Mus musculus: one gene and its partners. The protein of the gene in region 3 interacts with the protein of the main gene of each other region in a pairwise test. Links are inferred from orthologs where the notes say so. Each region holds a gene or a part of one and is shown on either strand. Other genes may lie near its edges. The genes, in order: Tstd2, Plekhn1, Rel, Exosc5, Nck2, Neil2 and Tssk3.

Evidence for each region.
Region 1: the proteins of Rel (region 3) and Tstd2 interact in binary tests that used the Homo sapiens proteins (3 or more experiments, as listed by UniProt). The two-hybrid records come from large-scale screens. The link is inferred for Mus musculus from reciprocal best matches to the Homo sapiens genes REL and TSTD2.
Region 2: the proteins of Rel (region 3) and Plekhn1 interact in binary tests that used the Homo sapiens proteins (3 or more experiments, as listed by UniProt). The two-hybrid records come from large-scale screens. The link is inferred for Mus musculus from reciprocal best matches to the Homo sapiens genes REL and PLEKHN1.
Region 4: the proteins of Rel (region 3) and Exosc5 interact in binary tests that used the Homo sapiens proteins (3 or more experiments, as listed by UniProt). The two-hybrid records come from large-scale screens. The link is inferred for Mus musculus from reciprocal best matches to the Homo sapiens genes REL and EXOSC5.
Region 5: the proteins of Rel (region 3) and Nck2 interact in binary tests that used the Homo sapiens proteins (3 or more experiments, as listed by UniProt). The two-hybrid records come from large-scale screens. The link is inferred for Mus musculus from reciprocal best matches to the Homo sapiens genes REL and NCK2.
Region 6: the proteins of Rel (region 3) and Neil2 interact in binary tests that used the Homo sapiens proteins (3 or more experiments, as listed by UniProt). The two-hybrid records come from large-scale screens. The link is inferred for Mus musculus from reciprocal best matches to the Homo sapiens genes REL and NEIL2.
Region 7: the proteins of Rel (region 3) and Tssk3 interact in binary tests that used the Homo sapiens proteins (3 or more experiments, as listed by UniProt). The two-hybrid records come from large-scale screens. The link is inferred for Mus musculus from reciprocal best matches to the Homo sapiens genes REL and TSSK3.

What each region holds. Positions count from the first base shown.
Region 1 is NC_000070.6:46,128,476-46,131,975, forward strand, and holds part of Tstd2 (thiosulfate sulfurtransferase/rhodanese-like domain-containing protein 2), read right to left. Parts: coding exon 3,368-3,500; intron 873-3,367; coding exon 752-872; intron 1-751.
Region 2 is NC_000070.6:156,223,235-156,225,512, forward strand, and holds part of Plekhn1 (probable pleckstrin homology domain-containing family N member 1), read right to left. Parts: intron 2,195-2,278; coding exon 2,114-2,194; intron 2,034-2,113; coding exon 1,961-2,033; intron 1,808-1,960; coding exon 1,683-1,807; intron 1,605-1,682; coding exon 1,491-1,604; intron 1,385-1,490; coding exon 1,304-1,384; intron 699-1,303; coding exon 623-698; intron 481-622; coding exon 332-480; intron 205-331; coding exon 64-204; intron 1-63. UniProt on the Homo sapiens protein: Controls the stability of the leptin mRNA harboring an AU-rich element (ARE) in its 3' UTR, in cooperation with the RNA stabilizer ELAVL1.
Region 3 is NC_000077.6:23,768,170-23,772,257, forward strand, and holds the start of Rel (proto-oncogene c-Rel), read right to left. Parts: upstream 2,801-4,088; 5' UTR 2,521-2,800; coding exon 2,511-2,520; intron 1-2,510. UniProt on the Homo sapiens protein: Proto-oncogene that may play a role in differentiation and lymphopoiesis.
Region 4 is NC_000073.6:25,662,153-25,665,342, reverse strand, and holds part of Exosc5 (exosome complex component RRP46), read right to left. Parts: intron 2,207-3,190; coding exon 2,093-2,206; intron 1,096-2,092; exon of another isoform or gene 1,017-1,095; coding exon 895-1,016; intron 1-894. UniProt on the Homo sapiens protein: Non-catalytic component of the RNA exosome complex which has 3'->5' exoribonuclease activity and participates in a multitude of cellular RNA processing and degradation events.
Region 5 is NC_000067.6:43,444,539-43,448,550, reverse strand, and holds the start of Nck2 (cytoplasmic protein NCK2), read right to left. Parts: upstream 2,801-4,012; 5' UTR 2,524-2,800; intron 1-2,523. UniProt on the Homo sapiens protein: Adapter protein which associates with tyrosine-phosphorylated growth factor receptors or their cellular substrates. Maintains low levels of EIF2S1 phosphorylation by promoting its dephosphorylation by PP1.
Region 6 is NC_000080.6:63,183,526-63,187,025, forward strand, and holds part of Neil2 (endonuclease 8-like 2), read right to left. Parts: intron 2,710-3,500; coding exon 2,513-2,709; intron 40-2,512; coding exon 1-39. UniProt on the Homo sapiens protein: Involved in base excision repair of DNA damaged by oxidation or by mutagenic agents. Has DNA glycosylase activity towards 5-hydroxyuracil and other oxidized derivatives of cytosine with a preference for mismatched double-stranded DNA (DNA bubbles).
Region 7 is NC_000070.6:129,488,508-129,492,088, forward strand, and holds Tssk3 (testis-specific serine/threonine-protein kinase 3), read right to left. Parts: upstream 2,264-3,581; 5' UTR 2,100-2,263; coding exon 1,955-2,099; intron 1,425-1,954; exon of another isoform or gene 1,316-1,424; intron 1,226-1,315; coding exon 564-1,225; 3' UTR 501-563; downstream 1-500. Other genes in the region: protein FAM229A, read left to right, coding at 2,692-2,828, 2,908-3,054, 3,185-3,287. UniProt on the Homo sapiens protein: Serine/threonine protein kinase required for spermatid development and male fertility.

The DNA of each region.
Region 1 (3,500 bases), on a different chromosome or scaffold from region 3:
CCTCTCATAGCACACACTCATAGATACCGGACAAACATGCAGTTTTAATTTCCTTTATTCTACAGTTTCCAATCCTTACAGAGCCTGTTAAGTGCTGAACCTTGTTCCAGCGCTGAGAATGCCCCAGTGAAGGCAAAGCTTCTGACCTCACGAGGCCCCCCCACAAGGGAGACAGGCTCTCCTCTCAGACTGCAGGAAGTCTTTAAGCAGCAGCAAAGGCAGGGCATGGTGAGGACCCTGCACACTGTACTGCTGAGGGAGCAGCACTGGAGTGGCACTCGCTCAGAGTACAGGAGGCCTGACAAGGAGGGGAGGGCCGCACAGAAGGGAAGGAGTAAATGTCACACCTGAGATCACCAGAGACCTGATTCTAGGAAAACCAAGGTGTGACTTGTAATCAAACATGCAGAATCTATAAGAGGCTTTGGAGTTCAGTACATTTCCCTGTCTCAGCTGACAGATGTATCAGAACCTAGCCATGCCCACGAATGTTTCCAATCTATAACAACAATGAATTAAAAAAAAGGTAACAAAACCTGAAATATTTACTATTTGACCCTTTAGGTATAGGGTGACTGAGGCCTGGTCTATAAGCAACATATCAAGAGCTGGTTTATTCTTTACCCTGCAAGCAGGGTTTCCCTCCTTTCGAGAACCCCCATGTGAAGACTTCTCAAAGAGCACAGCTCCTACAATCCAAGATTAAGGAGACAAGAAGAGGCTTGCAGGGCACATCTGGAGCAGGGCTTACCTTGCCTGTAAGGTGCAGGTGATGGCACAGAGCTGTCTGCCAGGCACAGACCCAATGGGGGTCCTCCAAGTCACAGTAGCAGTAATACAGGAGCACCTCTCCTTCCTCGTCACCCTGGCCACTACACAAGGAAAGTCAGAGGAGGGAGCATGTGAGCCACGTGAGCCCCACTTCCCAGTGCACCCACGCAGAGAAGGAGAGCACGGCCACAGGGAGCTACAGTTCCCAGTGCACCCAGGCAGAACTGGAGCCACAAGCAGCCCCACTTCCCAGTGCACCCAGGCAGAGAAGGAGAGCACGGCCACAGGGAGTCACAGTTCCCAGTGCACCCAGGCAGAACTGGAGCCACAAGGAGCTACAGTTCCCAGTGCACCCAGGCAGAGCTGGAGAGCACGGCCACAGTTCCCAGTGCACCGGGGCAGAACTGGAGAGCATTGACACAAGGAGCCCCAGTTCACAGTGCACCCAGGCAGAACTGGAGAGCATTGACACAAGGAGCCCCAGTTCACAGTGCACCCAGGCAGAACTGGAGAGCATTGACACAAGGAGCCCCAGTTCACAGTGCACCCAGGCAGAACTGGAGAGCAGGGCCACAGGGAGCCACAGTTCCCAGTGCACCCAGGCAGAGCAGGAGAGCATGAAGCTGGAACAACCTCTGCCTCCCTCCTATCTTTAGTCTCCTAACATAAGAGCACTTCTCTTCATATTTTCTCTACATAGTACAGTATCTGCACCAGACTTCTTACAAAAAGCAAACTCGCTTCCCTGTCCTCACTTAGCTCTCACACCAGGAGACAGGTATTATTAACCCTACTTTACAGGCAAGCTGGGAATTTGAGCCCACTGTGGCCTATCCTCAATCACAAGGCAGTATCTGGTTTGACTGGCTCACCATGAAAAACATTTTACTTCCATTTTTTCATGTAGTACACTTATCTATAGACGTGTTATTATTGGCCACATAAGACAAACTTTTCTATGTCAGCATGCTCACAGAGTAGCACTAAACCACTGAGAAGACATCACTACTTTAGGAGACCAGAAAAGAGTATAAAAATTCAGTATATAGAATATTGTATTCCCTCTAATTTTTTAAACATTTTATGCATTTAGTATTTTTATGTGTATGGGTGTTTTGCCTTCATGCTTGTCTGTATTTGCAGTGCCCATGGTGGCCAGAAGGTGGCATCAGATCCCCTGGAATCACAGACAGTAGTTATCCAGGAAGTGGATGCTGGGAATGGAACCTGCATCAGCTGGAAATGTAGCTTGCGTTCTTAACCATGAGCCATCTCTCCAGCCTTTCCCAATAATCTTGATGGACGATTGGTCTGTCTAGATGCATATTTGTAAATTCATCAGTGTCTGCCGTGCTCCACCACTCTAGGCAGCAGTGTTCTGTCATGACTCCACCTATCCTTTCACTCTCCTGCTATGGCTACTTACAGTTGTTTCCAGTTTGTCTTTTTAAGTCATTATTTTTTTAAATCTTTATGCCTGTGTGTATGATGTATGTATATGGTAGGAATGTGTTCTTGTATGAATGAAGGCACACGGAGGTCACAATGTGTATGTGGGAGTCCAAGGACAATCTTGGGTGTTGGTCCTCATCTTCCACCGTGTTTGTTCTTCACTGCTGAGTACCCAACACTTGCTGGCCTGGGAGCTTCTGGGGATTCTTGTCCCTGCCTCCCATTTTGCTGTAGAACTGGGATGACCCCAAGCACTCCCACGGCTGGCTTTAAATGGGTCCTGGGGACTGAAACTTAGGTTCTCACATTTATGTGGCAAGCATTTATCCCAATGGACCATTCCTCCAGCCGCTAACATTGGGAAGTACAACTAGTTTATTTTTAGTTAGCATACAAAATAATGTGTTGTTTCCAACATTTTGTTATTACATATAAAACTGCCACAAAAACCCTATAGGTGGAACAACATTATGAACTAACCAGTACCCCGGAGCTCTTGACTCTAGCTGCATATGTATCAAAAGATGGCCTAGTCAGCCATCACTGGAAAGAGAGACCCATTGGACACGCAAACTTTATATGCCCCAGTACAGGGGAACGCCAGGGCCAAAAAGTGGGAGTGGGTGGGTAGGGGAGTGGGGGGAGGTTATGGGGGACTTTTGGTATAGCATTGGAAATGTAAATGAGGAAAATACCTAAAAAAAAAAATATTAAAAAAAAAGGACACATGCTCCACTATGTTCATAGCAGTCTTATTTATAATAGCCAGAAGCTGGAAAGAACCCAGATGCCCCTCAACAGAGGAATGGATACAGAAAATGTGGTACATTTATGCAATGGAGTACTACTCAGCTATTAAAAGAATGAATTAAAAAAAAACAACAACTGCCACAAGCATTCGAGTTTAAGCTTTTATGGGTGTGTGTTTTATTTCTGCTGGCCACACACCCAGGAGTGGATCGCTGGGAAGGAGAATTCTGTACTCTCCCTAGCAACGCCTGGGCCCTTCAGTTGCCTCCCCATGTCAGTTGTATCTACCAAGGCTGCTATTTCTCATTTTCCTATTTCAGTGGGCTATCTGTAGTATCTCATTGTGGTTGAAAATATTTTAAATGTAAACCAAACTACAAAGTGCAAAACTTACCTCCTCAGCTCCTGGGGGCTAACATGGCTCACATCAGGAAGCCAAGCAGACACCTCCTGACTAGGAGTGAGACAGTCTTTGGGGGAGCTCCTTTTGTCTGTGGGCGTAAGGCTCTGTGAGGCACTCAATGCTG
Region 2 (2,278 bases), on a different chromosome or scaffold from region 3:
GAGACAAAAGTCCCCCCCTTTTTTTTTTAATCCCACTCCCATGTCATTCCTTTAGGTACTTACAGGTACAGGAGGGGCAGGGAAGCCTATAGTGGTTGGCACCGAGGACTCAGGGAGGGACTGGCTGGTGGGGAACACTGGACACTCTAATTTCCAGCTGCTCCGTCCATTGGAAGAGAGTGAACCTCGGCCTCTACCTACAAGCTAAGTAGCAGAAGTAAGGTGAGTGGCCGGGTCTGTCTCCTTCTCTATCCCCGCTTGGACCTAACTTCCTGCTCCTAGTTTGCATCACTGCCACACCCGAGTTACAGGGACCTCACTGACTTCTCACCTGTGTGGGCTTCTGTAATCCTGGGAAACTCTCTGGGCCAGGTGGCAGGTGGGCCCCATCCCTGCGAGAGACAGTCCTGAGGCACAGCAGCCATTGGCTATAATCCTCATAACTGGCACATACCACGCGGATGGTGTTGATGAGGTGGCCTAGCACACAGATATGTGAACTAAGGTCTGACAGGACAAGTACATCTCTCATCCCACAGAGCAAAGAGATGAAGCGTCCACCAAACTCACACCCCTCCCAGAAGCCCGGTCAAGCAGTGGCTAGTTCTCGGTAGGACCCTACCTTCGATGAGAAAGGAGCGAATCTCCTTTTCCTTCTCTTCTAAGTTGATATGGATGGCACTTAGTGGAAGCTCCCCCTGTAGAACGAGGACTAGGTGTTTATCTGGGTCATCTCAGCCTCTTCCTGGCCCTATTCTTCCATCCTGATCTCTAGAGCTGGGCTGGAAACTCAGGATGACACTCTGAGAAAGGCCAGGCAGCTTTGTTCTGGAACATCTCCACTCTACCTCCTGTTGGATCTTCACCAGCTAATGTCAGTTGTAGGCAGATGCTAATAGGGACCGGCCCCTGTGAGGGAGGCCCCCTTGTTTTGATTTTCAGTGACTGTGAGTGCACACCAGTGTCATGCTTTAGTCCTAGACACATGCACACGCACCTCCCCCCCTTCCATGATGCATGGAAGCTGCTCAGAGGGGCAACATGCACCAGAGATCCCAAGAAGTAGATTGTTCCATTCCACCCACTCCAAGAGTAACAATGTCCCTGCAGGATGAGATGGGATTTAGAGGGTGGAGACTCCTGCTCTGTGCCAGAGCAGGGACCAGACTGACCAGGGCAGTGGGGCCAGATAGGTGGAGCCCTGTGCTCTGTCCCAACAGGCCCTGAAATACAGGTTTCTGAGTCTCCACCCCCACCCCAGAAAGGGCACCTTCCTGGTCAGGTATATGTGGAGAGGGCCAACCTTAAAGCTAAGGCCTTCTGGTTCCTCAGAGAAGATGGCCAGGGATGCTGGGTATAGTACCAGAAGCCGGTCCCACTGTTCCTGTAAGGGGTCAAAGGGCAGAGTAGGGTTGGGCACCCGGAGTCCAGCCTGACTTGTTCCTGCATCCTTCCCCATCTCCTTGCACCTCAGGTCTTTCCCCACCTACCTGGGAGGGCAGATGCTGCAGCTTGACCCTTGAGGCACAGATTGCGCCGCTCATGGAACCACACCCATATGCTCGCCGTAGCTGGGTCCAGGGGGGTTTATCTCCCAGAGACCCCTGAGGAGGAAGAAAGAATAGGTCAAAGGCAGGCAGAGAGTCTGGGTGGGGGAGGACTCACAGGCTCTTGCTACTGACCTGTGGGGGTGCCGAGTGGCATCGTTGTAGACCCAAGAGAGCCATTTGCTTTTCCAGGTGGTAGAGCCAGTGGCTGAGCTCGGCCTCACTGTGGCAGAGAACAAGGAGTGGGGCAGGCAGCGGGCCTAGGGGCAGAAGAGTCAAGTGGGCGAGGGCTCAAGCTCAGAACTCACAGAAGCCCACAGGAAAGTCTCCTCTCCAAGGGCTGCAAGTGGACCTCCAATGCCCGGTCTAGAGGTCCTGGTCCAGTTGTGGCCAGGCCAGCTCTCTCCACACACCTGTAATCTGGAAGGCATGTTCTCTGGACCCATCAGTCGGGCAGATGTTCAATTCCGTCAGTGGGAGCAGTCCCTGCCACAGGATAGTATAGGAGGGGCTGCAGGGACTCCCAGGGGACACAGTCCCTCCCTCCCTCCGTCTGTGCCACTCACCTGGAATGTAAGTCCCTCAGAACCATGGGCCTGGAAGTACAGGTGGGAAGGGAACAGTTCTAGATAGCAGTCACTGATGTCCTAGGGGAGAGCAGAGCCACTGGTCTCAGAGGCTGGGAGACAGCCCCGGCCGTGGATGTTGGCTCCCACGTATTTGCCGACTTG
Region 3 (4,088 bases):
TTCACTTTTATTGGGGGGGGGGAAAGGTTATCTTGAAATTCATACAAAAAGTTGGTGAGTAGTAAGGTCCACAAAAATAATTCCTTCCTATACTTCCTGTTATGTGACACAGCAGAATCATGTTAAAGAAAAAAAATGTGACTAAATACAAACTTTCTAAATTTTAAAGTACATTTCACCAAAGACAATCTTAATCATTAGTAAAATAGTATGTATCTTACAAGGCAACTGTGCACCTCCCTCCACTTTGTTCTTTTTAGGAAATAGTGAAAATTTTTAGATATGGACACAAGACAGCTAACTTAAATAGAATACAATTGTTTGAATAATGACTGCTTAAATATGCAGATCTTTGATCAGGAACATTTTTTTCCATGTTGCCTGCTATAATTAATCTTATCAAAAAGCTAGAACAAAGCACAGTATTGTTTAAAAGGCAATGAAAAACAGCTTAATGGCTAGCTAGGAAGTCTTAACTTGCTAATTTACCTGAACAATAATTAGTATCATCATATAAAATCCTGTCTTTTCACAACATTTATATAATTCTGCCCAGGAGATTATTATCTACGACACTTTACATTTATAAGCACCACCTATTCAATTACACATACCTATTTACATATGACATCGGAGAGGAATGAACAAATGATCTCAATGCTTGGTAATCAATATGAATACTTTCCTAGGTTTCAGTACTATATTGCAAAAAAAAGGATCTAAATTACATAATCATAAGTTAAACAGTTTTGTTGCTTTTAAATTAGTATTTCAAAGGGAATGGGAATTTTAAATTTATTTCATAATTTTTCTCTATTTGGTCTTTATAACTGATATAAGGTACCCAGACTCCTTTAAACTATATTTTTGCCTAGAAACTTCAAATAGCAGAATTACAATTTAAATGACATGGTGTATTTTAAGTAGTCTCATTTAGTGCAACCCTTGATAAAAGATCAAAAAGCAAGAAGATAATGATACTACAACTTGCAGATTTGTTTTCTATGTTTGTTGGGATTTTTTTTTTTTCTCTGACAGTACTGAGAACTGAACCCAGGGCTTCACAGAAGCTGGGCAAGCCCAACCCAACTTCTAAATCCTTAAAACTTGCCATTTCTTTTAAAAAGTTCCCCACTTTAACTTTTGGAATCATTTCTATAACAGCACAAAATATATGTCCTTAGGCAAATTGCAATTGTATTACATTTTAAAATCATATCTGTCTTACAGTTCTTTAATAAATGACTTTTCTGTTGAAAAAAATTCAAGTATTGCATTCATACACTATATAATAAGATTCTATTAGGTAGACAAGGACAGAACTGTTTTAACAAAGCTTGCCACTCTTTACAAATGTCATACAAAAATCTCTTTCTGATTACCAATGAATTAAATACTTAAAGCCTTTTTGTGCTTCTAATCAGAACATGAGTTAAATTTACAAATTTACTAGAGCATCTGAAAGCCTGGCTTCATTTAAATGGGTAAAGAGAAAGTTGAAATATTTTAAACTACACTTGTTTTCTCATGAAAACCACAGACAAACTGAAATCAAGTGTCATGTGAAACACCCCAGTTTCCTTTACAGCAGGAGTTATGATATTGTTCTGCTCAACTCTTAAAGAGTTCACTAAGCTTTCTACTTCCTCTTCTCTGCCAGACGTCGGCTGCCTTCTACTGAGGGTCACTGGGAAGATAAGGGTCAGCGTCCTGCTACAGACAGAAGGTGTCATTTTTAGCTCCCACCACCATCTCAGCTGCTTCAAGTGCTTGCTTTACATATAGTACGACTGTCATACTAAACTCCCCTGTCCTGTAAACTGTTTCTTATAAATGTCCCCCTCAAAGCAGATGATCCAAAACTTACTAGTGGCAGATAAAACACTGACATTAAACGATGACATTTTCAACCCTACCAGTTACTTTAAAGTATAATCAAATCTCGTCCTCTTGCTGCTAACAAAACGCGCGTGCAGGTTTGGGGTTGGGGGTTGAAGGGATCGAGGTCTCTACACGGTAAATTAGACAAGCAACATCTTTAGCTCGTGGGGGCGGGGGTAGTGTTTTCGCTTGGAACGAATTAAAACGCCACTGAGGACTTTCACAGCCACGCCACATTCTGTACCAGTGTCAGCCGCTAGCACGATTGGACTTAAAAAAAGAAAGCTCGTCTGAGGTCCGGAGGTTCCTCTTTTTTGTTCAAAAATGTAAAACTGGGTCTCCATACCACTGAGTCTTTAAACGCGAGGCTTCTCTGCTCTCCTTTACTGAGATTACCCCCTGTGATCCTAAAAGCACACCGTTGGGAATTTCGAAGGTTCTGGCTATTAGGAGAAGATCAGATTACAGTGCGCCGCTTTGATTTCACACGCAAACCCCGGAGCGGGCAACTTTTCAAACGGCTGACAATTTGCCAGATGAGAAGACTTGAAAGGCAGACCGTCCTAACCCCAAACGGAGCCCCCGACAGCTCCTCCCCGTGACCCGCGAGTGCTCGCCCCGGTACTCACTCGAGGCCATGGCTCGGCTCCGCGCGCCGCTCGCTGCAGCTTCCAGCGTCCGGCCCGAGGCTGCAAGGCAGCCAGTCAGTCAGTCAGTGAGTCAGTCAGCCAGGCAGTCGGTCAGGCAGGCAGTCAGCCAGCTAGCCCGTCAGTCAGCCAACCAGTGAGGAGGCTGAGCAGCCTCCGCAGCCGGGACGCCTGTCCTCGGACCACCCCCGGGCCTCCTCTTCTTTCCCGGCTCCTCTGGGTTTGCGGCTCACACCTTCCCACCCCCGAATCTTCGCGCTCCGGTCACTAGTGTCCTGGCGTCGCCTTGCCAGGATGCCGCGGCAGGGGCAGGGGGCGGGGCGGACCGCCCGGCGGAACGTGGGGGGAGGGGGGGGGATTTCCCGCTGCTTACGTCACTCGCGCCACCGCCTACCCGGGGCGGGGGGCGGAGCCTCGCGGCGGGCGCGCGACCCCGCGCGGGCCAGTGCGCTTACTTCCTCCAGAGCCACCACAGCCTGCACGCTCGCGCCGGGAGCTCCGTGAGGGCGCGCAGCGACGACTCCGCGCGTGAGAAGCCGTCGGTCCCTGAGAAATCCCCCTCCTCCAGAGTCCTTGAGAGCGCCGCTTAAAGCCGAGGGGCGTGTTCGTGACGTCATGCTGGCCGAGCGGCCGGAGGCGGGCCGGGCGGTGCACCGGGCGCGCTCCTTGGCCGCCCGAGGCCCGCCCGGGGTTTTCGACCGGTGGTTCCCCCTCTTCCCGATTTCGCACATGCAAATCTCCGCCCCCGCGCCAGAGAGTTGTCCGGGTGCTCTGGAGGGGAAGTGCGGAAGCGCCAGCGCCCGCGTTCGGCAGTAAGGCGCAGATTTGCATACGGGGACCCCCGCAGCCTTATTTTCCCTCTATATCTACATTACGTCTTTTACCTACCAAAGTTTTTCAGCTGCACTGCGAGGCCGCTAACCCCATTCTGTATAAATGTACACGACGTCCAGAGATTGGCCGAGATACCCACGGCCTGAGGCCTGGACCGAACTTTGGTGCTTTGACAGGTCAGGCGGAATCTTGTTTGCCTTCAGTTGCTAATACGCACCTGTTCTCTTAGTCTATGATGTATTAGCATGTCATTGTATACACGAGTATTAGGGTTGATTGGGGTTTGGAGAAGCTGAGTAGCTTGTCCATACTTTAGAGTTCTAGAAAGGAATTGCACGATTTAAGCTTAAGATTATCCAGCCCCGTTTAGCGCACTGCACTCCCAGCACGCGGGAGGCTGAGGTAGGTGGACTGTCTCAACAACAGAAATAACTCAGGGTTATCTGGCTCCACCTCTTACGTTCTCCAGTCATTTACTGACTAAAACAAGTAATGGAGGGGAAATAGAGAATATCATCTTGCATGGCCAACAAGATAGCTTAGAGAATAATTGCGCTTGCTACCAAGCCTGACAAATTGAGTTTGATCCATGGAAGGACAGAATCAACTTCCAAAAGTTGTCCTCTTACCTCTACATGCGCTTCAAAGAACGCCAAAGTGTGTGTGTGTGTGTGGGGGGGGGGGGGTTGGATAATTAAAATATATACTATCCTGTCATAAAAAATT
Region 4 (3,190 bases), on a different chromosome or scaffold from region 3:
GACTCATCACAGAGCAGCGGCGTGGCAGGATGGTTACGCGGTTCTGGCGCCAAGTGGCTGCCGCTGCTCCACACCAGGTCTTACCAACTCTCTCCCAGCTATGAGATCAAATGGTTTTCTCCATGTCTCATATCTTTGTGTTAGATGGGACAATGCTAGGGAACAGGTATGTACACTAAGGGATATACCAAGTGTCATGAGTGAAACAGGGTCAAATAGAGAGATATCCCAAAGCCACACAAGAAAGACATTACTGGCAAAGCCAGGCCCACCCCCGGGGAGTCTAGTAGGCAGCTACCATGCTAGATAATGGAGCTCTGAGGTGGGACGTGCCTGGAGCTTGAGTCCCACCCTTGTTTCCATCTTGGTCCCTTAGACCAAACACTGCCCCTCACCTGAAACAAGGCAACATGAGAAACACACATGGCAGGGCTCTCGAACCAGAGAGCCTGAGCCCACTGTCTTGGGATTTACATAGGAATTACAGTGCTACCCAATACAAGCCCAGTGAGAACTAAATGACTTAACATCATGAGGTGCTCAGTGCCAGGCCCAGCAGCACACAGTAAGCCCTGCTTGCTAATTTTTAAAAATTACATTCATCTACTTGTGTGTGTTCAGGGGCAGGTGTGTGCCATTGTGCTCACGTGGTAGTTAAGAGGACAACTTATGGGAGTTGGTTTTCTCCTTCTACCATATGAGCCTTGGAGACTGAACTCAGGCCGTCAGGCTTGGCAGCGAGCACCTTTCTCCACTGAACCATCTTGTTGACCATGGCCTTGTTGTATGCTCTGCAGGAGCTGCTGCCTGGCACAGGTCCTGGGTGGCTGAGGGTACGGAAGCCGGAGGGGAGGTTCTGGCCACTTCCTGGAGGAGAGGGCTGGGAAAGGATACAGAGCCAGCGTCGCTCACCACCTGCAGCACCACGGTGATTGAGGTCCGGGGGTGCAGGGCCCCTAGAACCACAGCTTCACAGGTATTCCTGACCAGCCGCTCGCGGCTCTTCTCGGCCACGCCTGGGGAGACGGGAAGCGGTCAGGCTCTTCCCTTCCACCCCGTCGTCTTGCTCTGCTTGGTCCAGCCTCTGGAGGGAGACTTCAGGAAGGGGCTGTCAGCCTCAGTCCGGGTCGGAGTACACACTCCCAGGAGAAAGCGGGCGAGTCTGCAAGTTTCTGAGTAACTCCTGCTATGGCCAACCTTGGCCAGGGGTCTACCAGCCAGCCACCCAAGGAGGAATACCCAGAGGTGCCCATGTCCTGTGCTACTGGCCATATCTACTCTCATCAGAGCAGGCCCATCCCATGACACATGGGGAGAAGTGGTAAAAGGGCAGAAAAACAAGTTAATGGGAAGGAAGAGCGAGGAAGGCAAAAAAGGGAAGAAAGAAAAGGCTCAAGAGAGGGTGGGTCTGGTGGTACAGGTCTGTAATCTCGAGACTTTAGGTTAGGCAGTGGGATCATGAATTTGAGGGCAGCCTAGGTTATAAAGAGAGCTCACTGCCAGCTCAGAGGACTTGAGACCCCGTCTCAAAAAGTTAACAGGGGGGCTGGTGAGATGGCTCAGCAGCGGTTAAGAGCACTGACTGCTCTCCCAAAGGTCCCGAGTTCAAATCCCAGCAACCACATGGTGGCTCACAACCATGAGATCTGACTCCCTCTTCTGGTGTGTCTGAAGACAACTACAGTGTACTTACATATAATAAATAAATAAATCTTAAAAAAAAAAAAAGAGTTAACAGGGCTGGCTACATGGCCTAGCCACATAGCCTTAAATTCACTAGGGAAAAGCTAATGGTGTGGCTCAGAGCTGGAATTCCTGTCTGGAGACCACCAGTGAGGATCTGGGAGGCCTAATCTCAGCAGCAGAGGGCTTGACCGGACTCCACCCTGGAGAGCCTGGGACTGTGGCTTCCTGGAAGTGCATCTGCCCAGCAGGCCTGATGCTCTAGATTCCATTCCAGTGCAGCAGAATCAAAAGCTGGGCAAAGAGGGAGGAGAGCAGGGCAGCAGAGACTGGACACAGCAAGCATCGAGGGGTCAGATGAGGTCCCAACAGACTGGATCTTTTGGGGGGCTCAGTGGAGTCCAGTTACCAGGCAGCCCGATCTTCGGCCTCAGGATCACTTCAAGGGTGGCCTTGTTGAAGATTTCTTTGCTGACCTTCACCTCGGCCGGCCCATAGACTCCAGCCAGGACAGAGGTATCACCTGGGGGAAAGAGGGAGGCCTTGGCCGCTCTGTGCTGCACTTAGCACTTCTTTCCTCTGCTCTCTTAACTTTAAGCAGCTAAGTACCTTCCTCATGGTAAGTTTGTGAAGATCAGGTGACTGTGGCTCACAGAAGCAGGAGGCCCTCAGTCTCCCAACATCACACAAGAAGATGAAATAAATGCCAACTTTAAAGAGACACAGTTCACTTGAAACATATAAGACACTGGCCAGAAGGTGCAGAGCTTACCACAGACTTCAGCCACTGGTTAATTTTTAGAGGTAGCTGGGGTTTGCAGAGATGGCTGGTGGTGTGTGTCAGCATGCACACTGCTCTTCCAGAGGACTAGAATTCAGTTCTCAGCACCCATTATCAGGCTGCTCACAACCACCACGAAACCCAGCTCTAAGGGACTGACACCCTCTTCTGCCTTCATGGGCACTCGCACACACAGCTCTCGCCCACACACGCATATACATATCCCAGTGTTTGGGAGACACACAGGAAGATCAGGAAATCAAAATCATCCTTGGCTCCAATGGTAAGTCTGGGGCTACCCTGAGCTACGGGAGAACATCTCATAAGCCAGCCAAGCAGAAAACAGTTATTAGATGCAATTAAAATATATTAGTAAAATACATTTTAAAAGGACAAACAATAAAGATTGTGAATGTGTAGGGGGTCTTAATTTCTACTTATTTCCCCCAAATGGTTATGAATGGGTCTGGAGACCTCGTGTGACTTTGCTAACGTCCACAGGCGTCAGAGAGGCCACCTACGATGTGAAGGCACTGCATTCAACAGCAGTTTCCATGTTTCTGACTGTAACTCCCAATGCCCACTACACTTTACAGCACAGCTCCAAATCGATAAAATGTATGTGTATAAGTCGGTCAGAGGTTGGGGCTGGAGAGATGGCTCACAACTGTATGTAACCACAGTTCTTGGGAAGATCGTACTCTTCTGTCCTCAGGCACTAGGGAC
Region 5 (4,012 bases), on a different chromosome or scaffold from region 3:
ACAAACAAACAAACAAAAAAAAAACAAAAAACACCATGGCTGCATACCTCTGATAGCTTGTTTTAAAAGGCTGCCTAACTTACACAGAACAGCACACAAATGGCATCATTGTTTTTTCACATATGTCCTTTGAAAACACCTTGAGAAATGTTTCTATCACTCATTTTTTTAGGAAAGAGAAACAATTCCAAAGCAACATTTGAAGTCCCTCTGGATGGGAAAATGAATTTCCTAAGTCTCTATGGGAAGCTTCCCGGTCCTTTTGTAAGAAATGTTAGCTTACAAGTTTCCCCAACCACTGTTCCCTACACTGCTCTGCACTTGCAACAAGCAGTCTTGAATTCTTCAGTCATTAAGGCTCATTATGAACATCAGAAAATCATTTCCACGAGCCTCATCAGCCCCAGTGCACACTGCAAGCCAGTCAGTTAGAAGCATGTGTGCCCTACAAAGCAACCAAGCCCAGTCTTGCCAGGGCAAATTAAGCTAATGCAAATGATCAAATAAAGGACTACAGGTCACTATGCAATCAGTGACTATCGGGCTGTTTTCAAGGGGTCATTCGGTCTGCTCCAACAAGGAAAGCTCTGGAGAGATTTAGCAAGGATGAGAGCACATTTCTCAAACACCTGGGTGCTGCTGTTTGTCAGCAATGTTCAGTACCCCAATGTTCAAGACAGAGGTCAGGAATAAGCCCGGATCAAAGAGAAAGGGAGGAAGAAGACTGAAGCAAGGACCCATGGGGAAAGCAAAACTGAAAGCCTGGAAATGGACTGAAGAGCCTACAAGGAGTTGGAAACCACCTTTTATAAGTTCGACCCATTTTAAAGGGGGTCAGTCGTCTCTCCATCGGTGGGCAAATCGCCTATCAAGTGTCCAGAGCTCACATAGCAACTTCCAACCCTGAAACTGGGGCTCTGTTCAAGCACGTGTAAGAAACTGAGAGCAAGACAGGCAGTAAGCTGTAAGTCAAAGCTTTACAGCTGCACAAAGTTCTCATTTCAGCTTCAGGTCACTGGGACCTTTACGTTCTTCAATCAAAACTACGCTAACCTACCAGGAGGTGAGAAAGTTTAAGGGAGGATTGTCACTTGTGGTCACTTAGGAAAGACCCGAAGGTGTAAAACCTTATCTGTCTAAAGTGCACTTTCTCCATTGTGTTCACTGGCTGCCTTCGCTACATAAACCAGGCACATGCACGAGAAAGTCCGGTTTCTACCTCTGTATCTATAAACACTTGGAAAGTGAATGGAGGGAGTGCCCACAGCACAGTTGAGATGTTCTGATAAAGTAGTGACCTTTAGACTAGAAAAACCACAGTTGCTAACTATACCAAAAAAAAAAAAAAAAAAAAAAACCCAGGCTGGAAACACACCCAAAATTATTCTCATTCCTCCTCAAAATCTCTGCAGAAAAGCCTGTATTGGGAGAGGAGCAGAGAAGTCTCCAGGGGAGGATACCAGCAAGCCACGCCCACTGGCCAACGGGCTGTTTCTTTTTGGGTCAACCAAGGAGCAGGCCTGTGCACCTCCAGCCCAAACTCGGACCTGTTCATCCCACACACAGACGCAAACTTGGCAAGACTGGCCTTAAACCTGTTAGCAAAATAAGGAGAGCCAAATAAGGAGGAAGCGGCCAACCTGAATGGGTTAGGGTGGCAGGGCCCACTCCACTTGGCACCCAGCTGTGTCCCCAAGCTGTTCACAATACTACTGTAAGTCACCTCTGCTATCCATTAACCACCACCCGCGCACACCTTCCGGGAGGATCGCTGTTGTGTATAAATAACAGCGTTTTGCAAATCAAACCTCTCCACACAATGCCAAGCTAACAGCGCTCAAAAGGGAGGTGCCACCGGGGCATTAAAAGTCACACATCAAATTCTTGCAGAACCACTTGCTTAAATCGCCCTGAATAAATAAACTGAGGGGGCAGAGCAACCGGGAAAAACTTTGGTTGAGGAGGTTTAAGTCTTGGAAATGCGGGACCGGGCGCAGGGACTGGAAGGAACCAGGCACAAAAGCGCCCTGCGCCGAGGCAAGGACCTCCTTTATGGAACGTGACAGCAGCTTTGTGCCGGATCACGAATAGTTCTAAATACTGGAAGTTCTCCCCGGCCATCGCAGCCTCCCGCTTCCTAGCGCTGTGGCCCTCAGATCCCAGGCTATTCTTCCCAGGCACGCGCGCCCGGCGACCTGGCCACTGTTCGGTCCCACGCCCGCCCACAGGCCAGGGCTGCTAGTGTTCCCGAGGGCTTTGGGTCCTTGGTCCCCGGAGTCCGCCCGCGGAGGGCGCCCCACCCCCACGCCAGCCCCAGGCAGAGGGAGGCGAGGGCTCGCAGGAAGGTGTGTGTATCCGAGGTGCGGGTGCCCGGGGACGCCAGGCCGCGGCGGGGCTGAGGGCACCGGCCGGGTACGCAGGGGTACGCGCTCCCTGGCCCTCCCCGGGCGGCCGCGGCCCGCTCGCCCCTCTCTTCCAACTCCACGGACCGGCCCAAGTTTGCAGCCCCCGCCATCGCCTTACCTCGCCGCACAGTGCACGCCGAGGCCGGAGGGCAGCAGCGCGAGTCCCGGGGCGGCGGCCGCGCTGCGCCCGCCCAGATGCCGCTCTTTGTCTGCACCGCTCCCTCCTCCCGCCACCAAGCGGACGCAATTGGACCCGGCGGACCCCGCCGGCCCGGGAGCCCCGAGCCTGCCTGCCGCCGAGCCCTCCTCACCACCACCGTCGCCGCCGCCGCCCGCTCGGCCGCGCGCACCGGCCTGCGATCCGCGGCGGCGACCCTCCCGCGCAGCGCCCGCCTCCGCGCGCTCCCCGCCCGCGCTCCTCCCTGGCTGCCGTGACGCCGCCCAGGGGCCGGCCCAGCCCGGCGCACGCGGGGCGGGGGACCCACCTGGGAGTCCCAGCCAGGCCTCGGGAAAGCGCCGCCTGGGGGCTTCAAGCCGTAACCCGCTCTAGATTGGAGCTGGGGGCACCCGGGAGGGGCTGCTAGGGATAAGGAGGTGCCACTTGCAGCCCACGAGACCGGGTGGTCTCCGCACCCGGCTGTGCGTCGGGAGCCTTACAGCGACCTCCCTACCCCGCCCCCCAAGCATTCCCACGGCACTCTCAGCCAAACAGGCCTGGTGTCTGTCAGAAAAGTGACTTACATAAAAATGTCACTTCCTCCCAGTAATTGCTTGTGGGCATTTTCTTTATTTATTTGCCTTGCATTTATTTACTTTCCCATCCAGACACTTTTTTACTCCATCCCCCCCACCCCCAACCTCCAGGCGGGACCACTTCCTAGTGGGGGAGGAGAGGAAACCCGACCTCAGCTGCCTCCGCAGCGTCCTGGCCAGTTTATTAGAGCCCAGGAATTCTTTAGTACAGGAGGCTGAGAAAGCTTTAGAAGGAAACCTTGCTCTCCCAGACTTGAGTAGTAGCTAACCTATAAGCAAACTTGGAAAGCTAGAACCCTGGATCGAAGAGAAGGACTGGATCCAGAGGTTTCTTCTCCAAGCTCCTTCGCTCCTTATACCCCAAAGGAACCCCTGATATTCAAATAAATTCCGCTTTCAGGTCGGACGACTCACATTTATGTTAATGAGATTCAACCCTAGCCCTTGTTTCCTCCTTATTAAGGCAGAAACAATTCACCCTACGTAACAAAAAAAGAAAAAGAAAGAAAGAAAAGTTGCCTGCCTTCTTATAGGAAGTTCCCAGGCATAAGTAACGTGAGGAAGCTTGGCTATAGTCCTCGCAGCCATTGACCGTAGGCTCCTGAACTGTGTCACCTTACACAGGTGTTTCACAACTTCCTCGGCTTTATCACATGAGATGTTTACCTGCCTTCTATGTTAAGTACCTGGCACGTAGCCTGACACGAGGGCACTAGGAGGCATCCTGTACAAAATCAGCACACCCAACAGTCTCTTCCAGTCGGAGATGCTAGCTTCATCCGTTCTTTGTTACAGACCTCATCTTTGTTACTATCTAGCTTTACAACAATGAAGGCAGAACTCTAACCAATAGT
Region 6 (3,500 bases), on a different chromosome or scaffold from region 3:
TCCTTGCTCTGTACAAGGCTTCATTCTTTATGATGTTCCCTGAAAACAAAGGGAGACGTGAGGGGAGGAAAGCCTCAAACTTGCTATGTAGCCTAGGCTAAACTGCTGAGCCCCCCCCCCCCACCTTGTCTTCTAAGTGTTGAGCTCACTAGCTCACAATCTGTCTCAGGTGATGATGAGTTCAGTCCATCTTGCTGGTTACTGAGCAATGGCCTTGCTAAGCGGAGGAGAGTAAGTTCAATGGTACATGGGGGCCACAGTCTAAACAGTTGACGTTTCCCCAAGAGTTTCATAATCTCACTGCGGTTACAGCTGAGGCCTACCTGGACTCATCTCAGCTTCGCTGCTCACCAGCGAGGTGCCCTTTGCTTTAGTTTCCTCATCTGAAGAAAAGGGAAAGCTAACAAGTGATTATCCCATGGAACAGCATAAGGGCAGGACTGTGCCCGAGTCCCTGGAGTTATTGACTCACACTGGCTCTCACCAGTATCATTGTGTAGTCAGGTCTCTGCGCACATCCAAAAGCCACTGCTGGAAACCTTGTTCATCCTTCTGGCACAGAAACAGACTCCACTGGTTCTCCCATGAGAGCACAGCACTTTCACATCTTTTCAGCATGAACTATACTCACGGCAGGCAAGTCACACTTTGTATATGCACACAGCTTTGCCAATAGCAACTGCTTTAACAGCCAGTTGTGGTGCCCCTTATTGCTCTCCTGTGGGCAGAAAATAACCCTCCCCGTACTAAGAACTATAGCATTCCCTGTCTCAGCTGGAAATGCTCACAGTTTCACTAATCTATTCTCCAGAGCAGAGACCTGCTTCTTTCTCTTGGCTTCTAAGAGCCTGGAGCTGACCTGATACCTGACTCTGCTTCGATATCAGAAGCCCCAGTGCCCAAGAGCAGTACCTATTAGTGGGCATTCTCCTCCCTCTCTTCCAATGGCCTGCAGGACAACCATTCCCAGCATGACTTAACCCAGAACCTTCTAGATGCTCTGTAGGCTTTAGAGTGTGCCAGGTACACAACGTGATCCCTCTGTCAGGAGGTCATACTGATATCACATCAGAAGGCCTGTGACAGTCCTATCATGTCAGAACATGGTCCAAGAATGGAATCATTCGAGGACAATTCTGAGTGCTTGTGAGAAAACTCCAAGAAAACCAGACAAGAGTCTTGTGACCTCAGTTTCTTCAAAACGTGGTATTATTCTTGGAATATGTTTTCATGCTCTTCCCAGGTATATCAGATAGGGGAGAGTTTACTTTGTTGTTCACACAACTGGCTGTTATGTATTAATAGATTTGTGGGTTTTTTTTTTATTTTTGGTTTTGGTTTTGGTTTTTTCGAGACAGGGTTTCTCTGTGTAGCCCTAGCTATCCTGGAACTCACTCCCTTAGACCAGGCTGGCCTTGAACTCAGAAATCCACCTGCTTCTGCCTCCCAAGTGCTGAGATTAAAGGCGTGCTCCACCACCACCAGGCTGTATATATAGATCTGTGATGGCTATTCCTAGTTATCAACTTGACCACATCTGGGATTACTACAATCCAGAAATGGAGGGCACACTTGTGATCTTGAGCCTGGAAGATACAGGTTTCTGACCTGGATCTCAACATGGAGATCTTAAGGCATAGTGGCCATTAAAAAGCTTAAGCAAGGTAGCAAGGTAGTACACATCTTTAAACCCAGGAGATTTAGGAATAACAGATCTCTGAGATCAAGGTCAGCCAGGAACAAAGTAAATTCCAGATTCAGGCATGGTGATACACATCTTTAATCTGGGCCACACCTTCTGCTGGAGGCCTATAAAGGACATTGGAAGAAGGAAGATTCACTCTTTTTCACCTGCTTGCACTTATTTGCCAGCACATCTGTTGGAACCTACTGTTTCAGGATTCTAGAAGACCAGCTGAAGCAACTAGTCTGTGAGACTGAGAAACTACTAGATTTTTGGACTTCCCATTCACAGCTGCCCATTGTTGGGTTAGTTAGACTACAGACTGTAAATCATTACAATAAATTCCCCTTAATATGTAGAGACATTCCATAATTTCTGTGACTCTAGAGAACTCTGACTAATACAATATCTTTATGGAAAAACGTGTTTTGCCACATGTAGCTTGTCCTTATGATTGTATACAGACTGAACTCATGAGAGCTTTATTCAGGTGACCATTCTCTTAACTCTCAGAGTATAAATTGTCTGATGCTTTGAATAAAGTTGGCTATTGCATGAAACTTTCATCTTCCTCATTTATCAGGTCCATTTCCCAGGTCCCACTGCCTCTAGAGCAGAAAACACTATCTTGTTGTGAATATTACACCACAGAAAGAAGTGAGGATCTTCTTAAACTAACCCGAGTCTAAGATCAAGGGATAAACCAACCTTAAAACCAACAGTGTTGGCACAACTGGGATAGTAGTCCTTAAGTCTTGCCTGCCCTACAGATGAGTCACTATACCATTAATCAACTCCGTGGGGCTCCTCCCATCACACAGGTCATACCTAATCCTGAGAAGTATCTCTGGTCCAAGAGTGTGTAGCACACAGGCTGAGCCTGGCTTAGAGCTTCCAAGGCTTGTCCTCGATGGAACTTTTCAGACAATATGTCACAGGTGGGCTCAATCACTGGGGGAGGGCTCCATGACATCTGGCAGTTATAAAATACCAGGAAGCCACCACCACTAAAATGGAGTACCAGCCTGAGGAGACAGAAGAGATCATACATATAGTGTTCTCACACATAATGAGATCATACATTACAACCACCACTGTGTGGTCAACGCATATATTCATAAACAGTCCTCTGTAGAGTCAGTCCATAAGTATATATAGTTACCACAACATAATCTACTCACACATGCAACTATCAATGTACATCACCATATAATTATTGCTATATAACCATGTCACATGTGTGTATAGTGACTGCTATGTGGGTCACATTTACACACAGTTACTTGTCCCATATGCCGTCAGGTCAGCTGCACATTATGTTTCTATACTAGTCTGGATCAAACTGAGAAATTAAGGTCCTATGATCAGAATCATAAATACCTCAGGGCCAAGAGGTAGTAAGTAAAATATGAATATACATTGCTTTCTAATACATTGCAGCAATCCATGCTGATAATGAAAAGCTGAAAATCTGAATCCAGAAGGTTAGTGGGACCAGAGCTGGGAGTTGGGGGGAGGGGAGGAGCTCATTATGGAGAAGATGAAGAAATGGCGGCAAAGAGCATCATTTCCAGTTTCAAGCCAGATTAACTAACTCCTGCATGTATGTGCCCCTAAGCAAAGAAAAGACATATAACACACTTCAGTAAGAAAATAATGGGATTCATTCTAGGGATAGCTTATCCAACCAGAGCTACCCCTACACTGGAAGCTGCAAAACCGGAGTCCGTGTCTGACCTAGTTAGTGTTCTCGGGAAGGGCAGAGACAACCTCGGGAAGCTAGGAGGTAGGTACATGCCCGTAATCCCAGTGTGCA
Region 7 (3,581 bases), on a different chromosome or scaffold from region 3:
TCCGGGGATGTTTCTGTCCCCCTCGGCAGAGGCTCCCACAGCTGCAAGCATACTTTTGGCCTCATAGGTGGGATCCAGCCTGGGTGCTAAGGATGCCCCGTCTCTTCCTGACTCAGCTTGGCCTCTGGTTTGAGAAAGGTTTGGGCCCAAGCAGCTTCTCACCAAGCCAAGGAGTCAGGAGGTCAGGCCTGCATTCCAGGTGCGTTGGCTTTTATCTGGAAAGCGAGTTGTAGCACCTGAGTGGTTCCACGGGCTCACCTTTCTCTCCTCACTTCTCCCGGCCTGCTGATGCTGCTAGGGCCTAACGTAATGAGTGCTAATTAATCACCTATATGAAAATCATTTGAGCGCCATTAATAAAAGAAAAATCTAAATAAGGCCCTTAGTTCCAGGAAGGTCTTTACAGGGAAGGTGAGAGGCCTGTGGAGCCGCAATGAGGAGGTGGAAGTCAGCCATGGGAGAAGTGGACTTAAGTGTAAAATATAGATCACCATTTTAGAAGCGGGTTTTTTCAGTTTGCTTTCTCCCCCTACTTTATTGGGGAGGACTTGCCATTGCTTTTATCAAGTGCTTGCTAGCCATGGGTGCCAACTAACTTCTTCGATTGAAGGCCGGAGTATCATGTCTGGTTCCAGGAGCCGCTTGAGCAGGTCCTGGCATTCGGTTGAGATGCCCAAATGAGTGGGGAAGGACACCCCCTTCTGCTGCTGCCACAGCATCTTGGGGATATCTGTGTCATCAAAAGGTAGACTTGCACAGAGCATTACATACAGGACCACACCCATGCTCCAGACATCACCTTTCTTGCTATCATGGGGTATGCCCTGTAGCACCTCAGGGGCGGCATAGGCTGTGCTGCCACAGAAGGTCTGGCTCAGCTCCCTGCGTGACTTGGGTAGCACCTTGGCAAAGCCAAAGTCGGTCAGCTTCAGGTTGAAGCCCTGCAACAAGGCGTTCTCACACTTAAGGTCCCGGTGGGCCACGCCACAGCCATGGCAATAGCGAATAGCCTCAACCATCTGGCGGAAGAGGGCCTTGGCCCGGCTCTCGGGAAGTGGCCCTCCGTTCAGCACACAGTCAAAGACATCCCCTCCCTCAGCCAGTTCCATCACCAGGTAGATTTTTCCATCTGCTGACTCCAGCATCTCATACACCTGGATGATGTTTTTGTGGTCCAGGGTACGGACAATCTGGAGCTCACGAGGCAGGAATCTCTGGATAAACTCTGAGGGAAAAAGTGGGGAGACAAAAATCAAGATCAAAACGTCCTGGTTCCTCCCTCTTGGCTCCTGCTTTCCAGCTTCCAGACACCTACCATGTCTAGGTGTTCTTTCTTGACTCCCTGACCAGTCTCGGGTGTCTCTAGCAGCAAGTATTGCCTTCCTTTCATGATTAGCTCATCCTTGGAACCTCCTCCCAGCAGCCTGTGAGACCACAGATGAGGGATTTGGGAAGTTCAAAGCTATTGCATCTCACTATTCTTTCCAGGGATCTATTGTCCTGTCCCTCTTCCACCTGCAGGGTACCAGTTCCTGCTGTCTTCTGGCCAACGCCTCTTGGGACAGGAAAAACTGAGGACCTTTTGTTTTGTTTTGTTTTGTTTTTTATTTTGTTTTCTGAGACAGGGTTTCTCTGGATAGCCCTGGCTGTCCTGGAACTCACTTTGTAGACCAGGCTGGCCTCGAACTCAGAAATCCACCTGCCTCTGCCTCTCCTGAGTGCTGGGATTAAAGGCGCATGCCACCACGCCCGGTTTAGGACCCTTTCTTTTTCTTGTGCTACGATTGTGGCTCTGGAAAGGTGTGAGGATCCTGGTTTCCCTACATCCTTCTATTTAGGGCAGGAATCTGACTTGCTTTCTGCCATCCTGACTCAAAGGGAGGAAGAGATGCTCTGAGGAAAGGGCCTACCCGTGTTGGCTAGCCCACCCTTCCTCCCAAGGACCCCAGCTCACCTTCTGGCCCTCCCATCTTGTCTATAATTTTAATTGCCACTTTTCTTTGATGTTTTTTGGAAAATGCTTCTTTGACTTTTGAGTAGGTCCCTTCCCCAATGGTCTTGCCCAGCTGATACCCATTGGAGAGTAGAAAGTCCTCCATGCTGTGTAGCGCCTCCTTCTTGTCACCCTCTCAGCTCATGCTGCCTCTGCGAGGCAGCTCTACTCCACCATCGCCCTCGGCCTGCTTCTTTTCCCCCCAAGGACTTCATTCACAGCTGCCTCCAGGGCTAGAACATTCTCCGTCTGGACACAGCCACAGGTGGTGGGGAGGGAGAGGACCAGACATTTTTAAACTCCTGCCCAATTGTGATGTAAATGCTGTGTGACCCTCAGACAACATGGGCAGTGTCCCTACTTTCCCTCGCCACCACCAGCAAATCCAGCATGGGTTAAGTCAGTCTTGAGCAAGGCGCAGAGTGGTAGCGATGCTGGGGAACGGGCCTGGGTGGCCGCGTAGGTCAGGGAGGCGGGCCTTCTCCATGTGGGCTCCGCTTCCAGGCAGGTCGCCCTCACCTCCGAAGTCCCCATCCAGCTGTTGGGAAAGAGTGCAAACTGGTCACCAAGGTGCGATCTCCAGAGCCCTCTGGCCTCAGGCCCGGGCCCTCACTAAATGCCGGAACGCTCTGGGACTGCCTAAGAATTCCAGCGAGGAACAGGCTGTGTGAGGTCAGCACGCAGAGATCGGGGTCACAATGCAGTCCTCCCCTTCGACGCTGGGGCCCGGGCGCGCAGCAGACACCTGCCAGGCTCCGCCTGGACCGGAGCGTCCTCCCGTGGCCAGGGCTCGGGCAGTTGCTTCCAGCCTGGGACCGGCCTCGGCCTCTGGCAGGTAAGCCACGACACAGGAGACGGGCACGGGCAGGGAGCATCTAGGGGCCCGGAGCTGCCTGACCGCCACTCCTATACAGAGTGCCCCGGGGCCTGGACATGAGTGCCCAGGAGACCCCACAGGGTCGAAGATTCCCCATTGAGGCCGGAGACTCCCCTGGCCTTGCCTCCGCCCCCGAGTCCCAGGATAGCCCGGAGCCTGTAGCTACGGATCAAAACCCTGTCAGGTGAGTCCGTCGTCCCACCCCTCGGCCCTGCCCCATCGCCATCCCCAGGGCCCTACCCCCAAAGATCCCAGGCGCATCCCCTGGCGCGCCCCAACACTTTGCGCCCCCTGTCGCCTGCCGCTTTCGCCAGGCCGCTCCGACGCTGCCCGGGCTGCCACTGTCTGACGCTGCTGCACGTGCCCATCGACGTCTACCTGGCCATGGGCGGGAGCCCCCGGGCCCGTGCTACCTGAGTGCGCCTGCGCACGGCAGCTCTGCAGGAGCCGGGACGGACGAGGCCAGCCGCGGGCCACCACGCTGAGGTCGCACGCGCCGAGCACGAGACAATGATGCACATTTTAAAATAAAAGAATGATGCACATTTTAATAAAGCACAGCATAAACTGTTCTTTCCATTCCGGGCTGGCCGTGTATGTGTATCCGTCGGATCGGGCCCACCGACTTCTCGGACCCAGCCAGTATCACTCTTGGGCTACCTCCACTCTTAGACCAGACTTCCACCCGCCTCCACTTCCCTGCCCACCTCC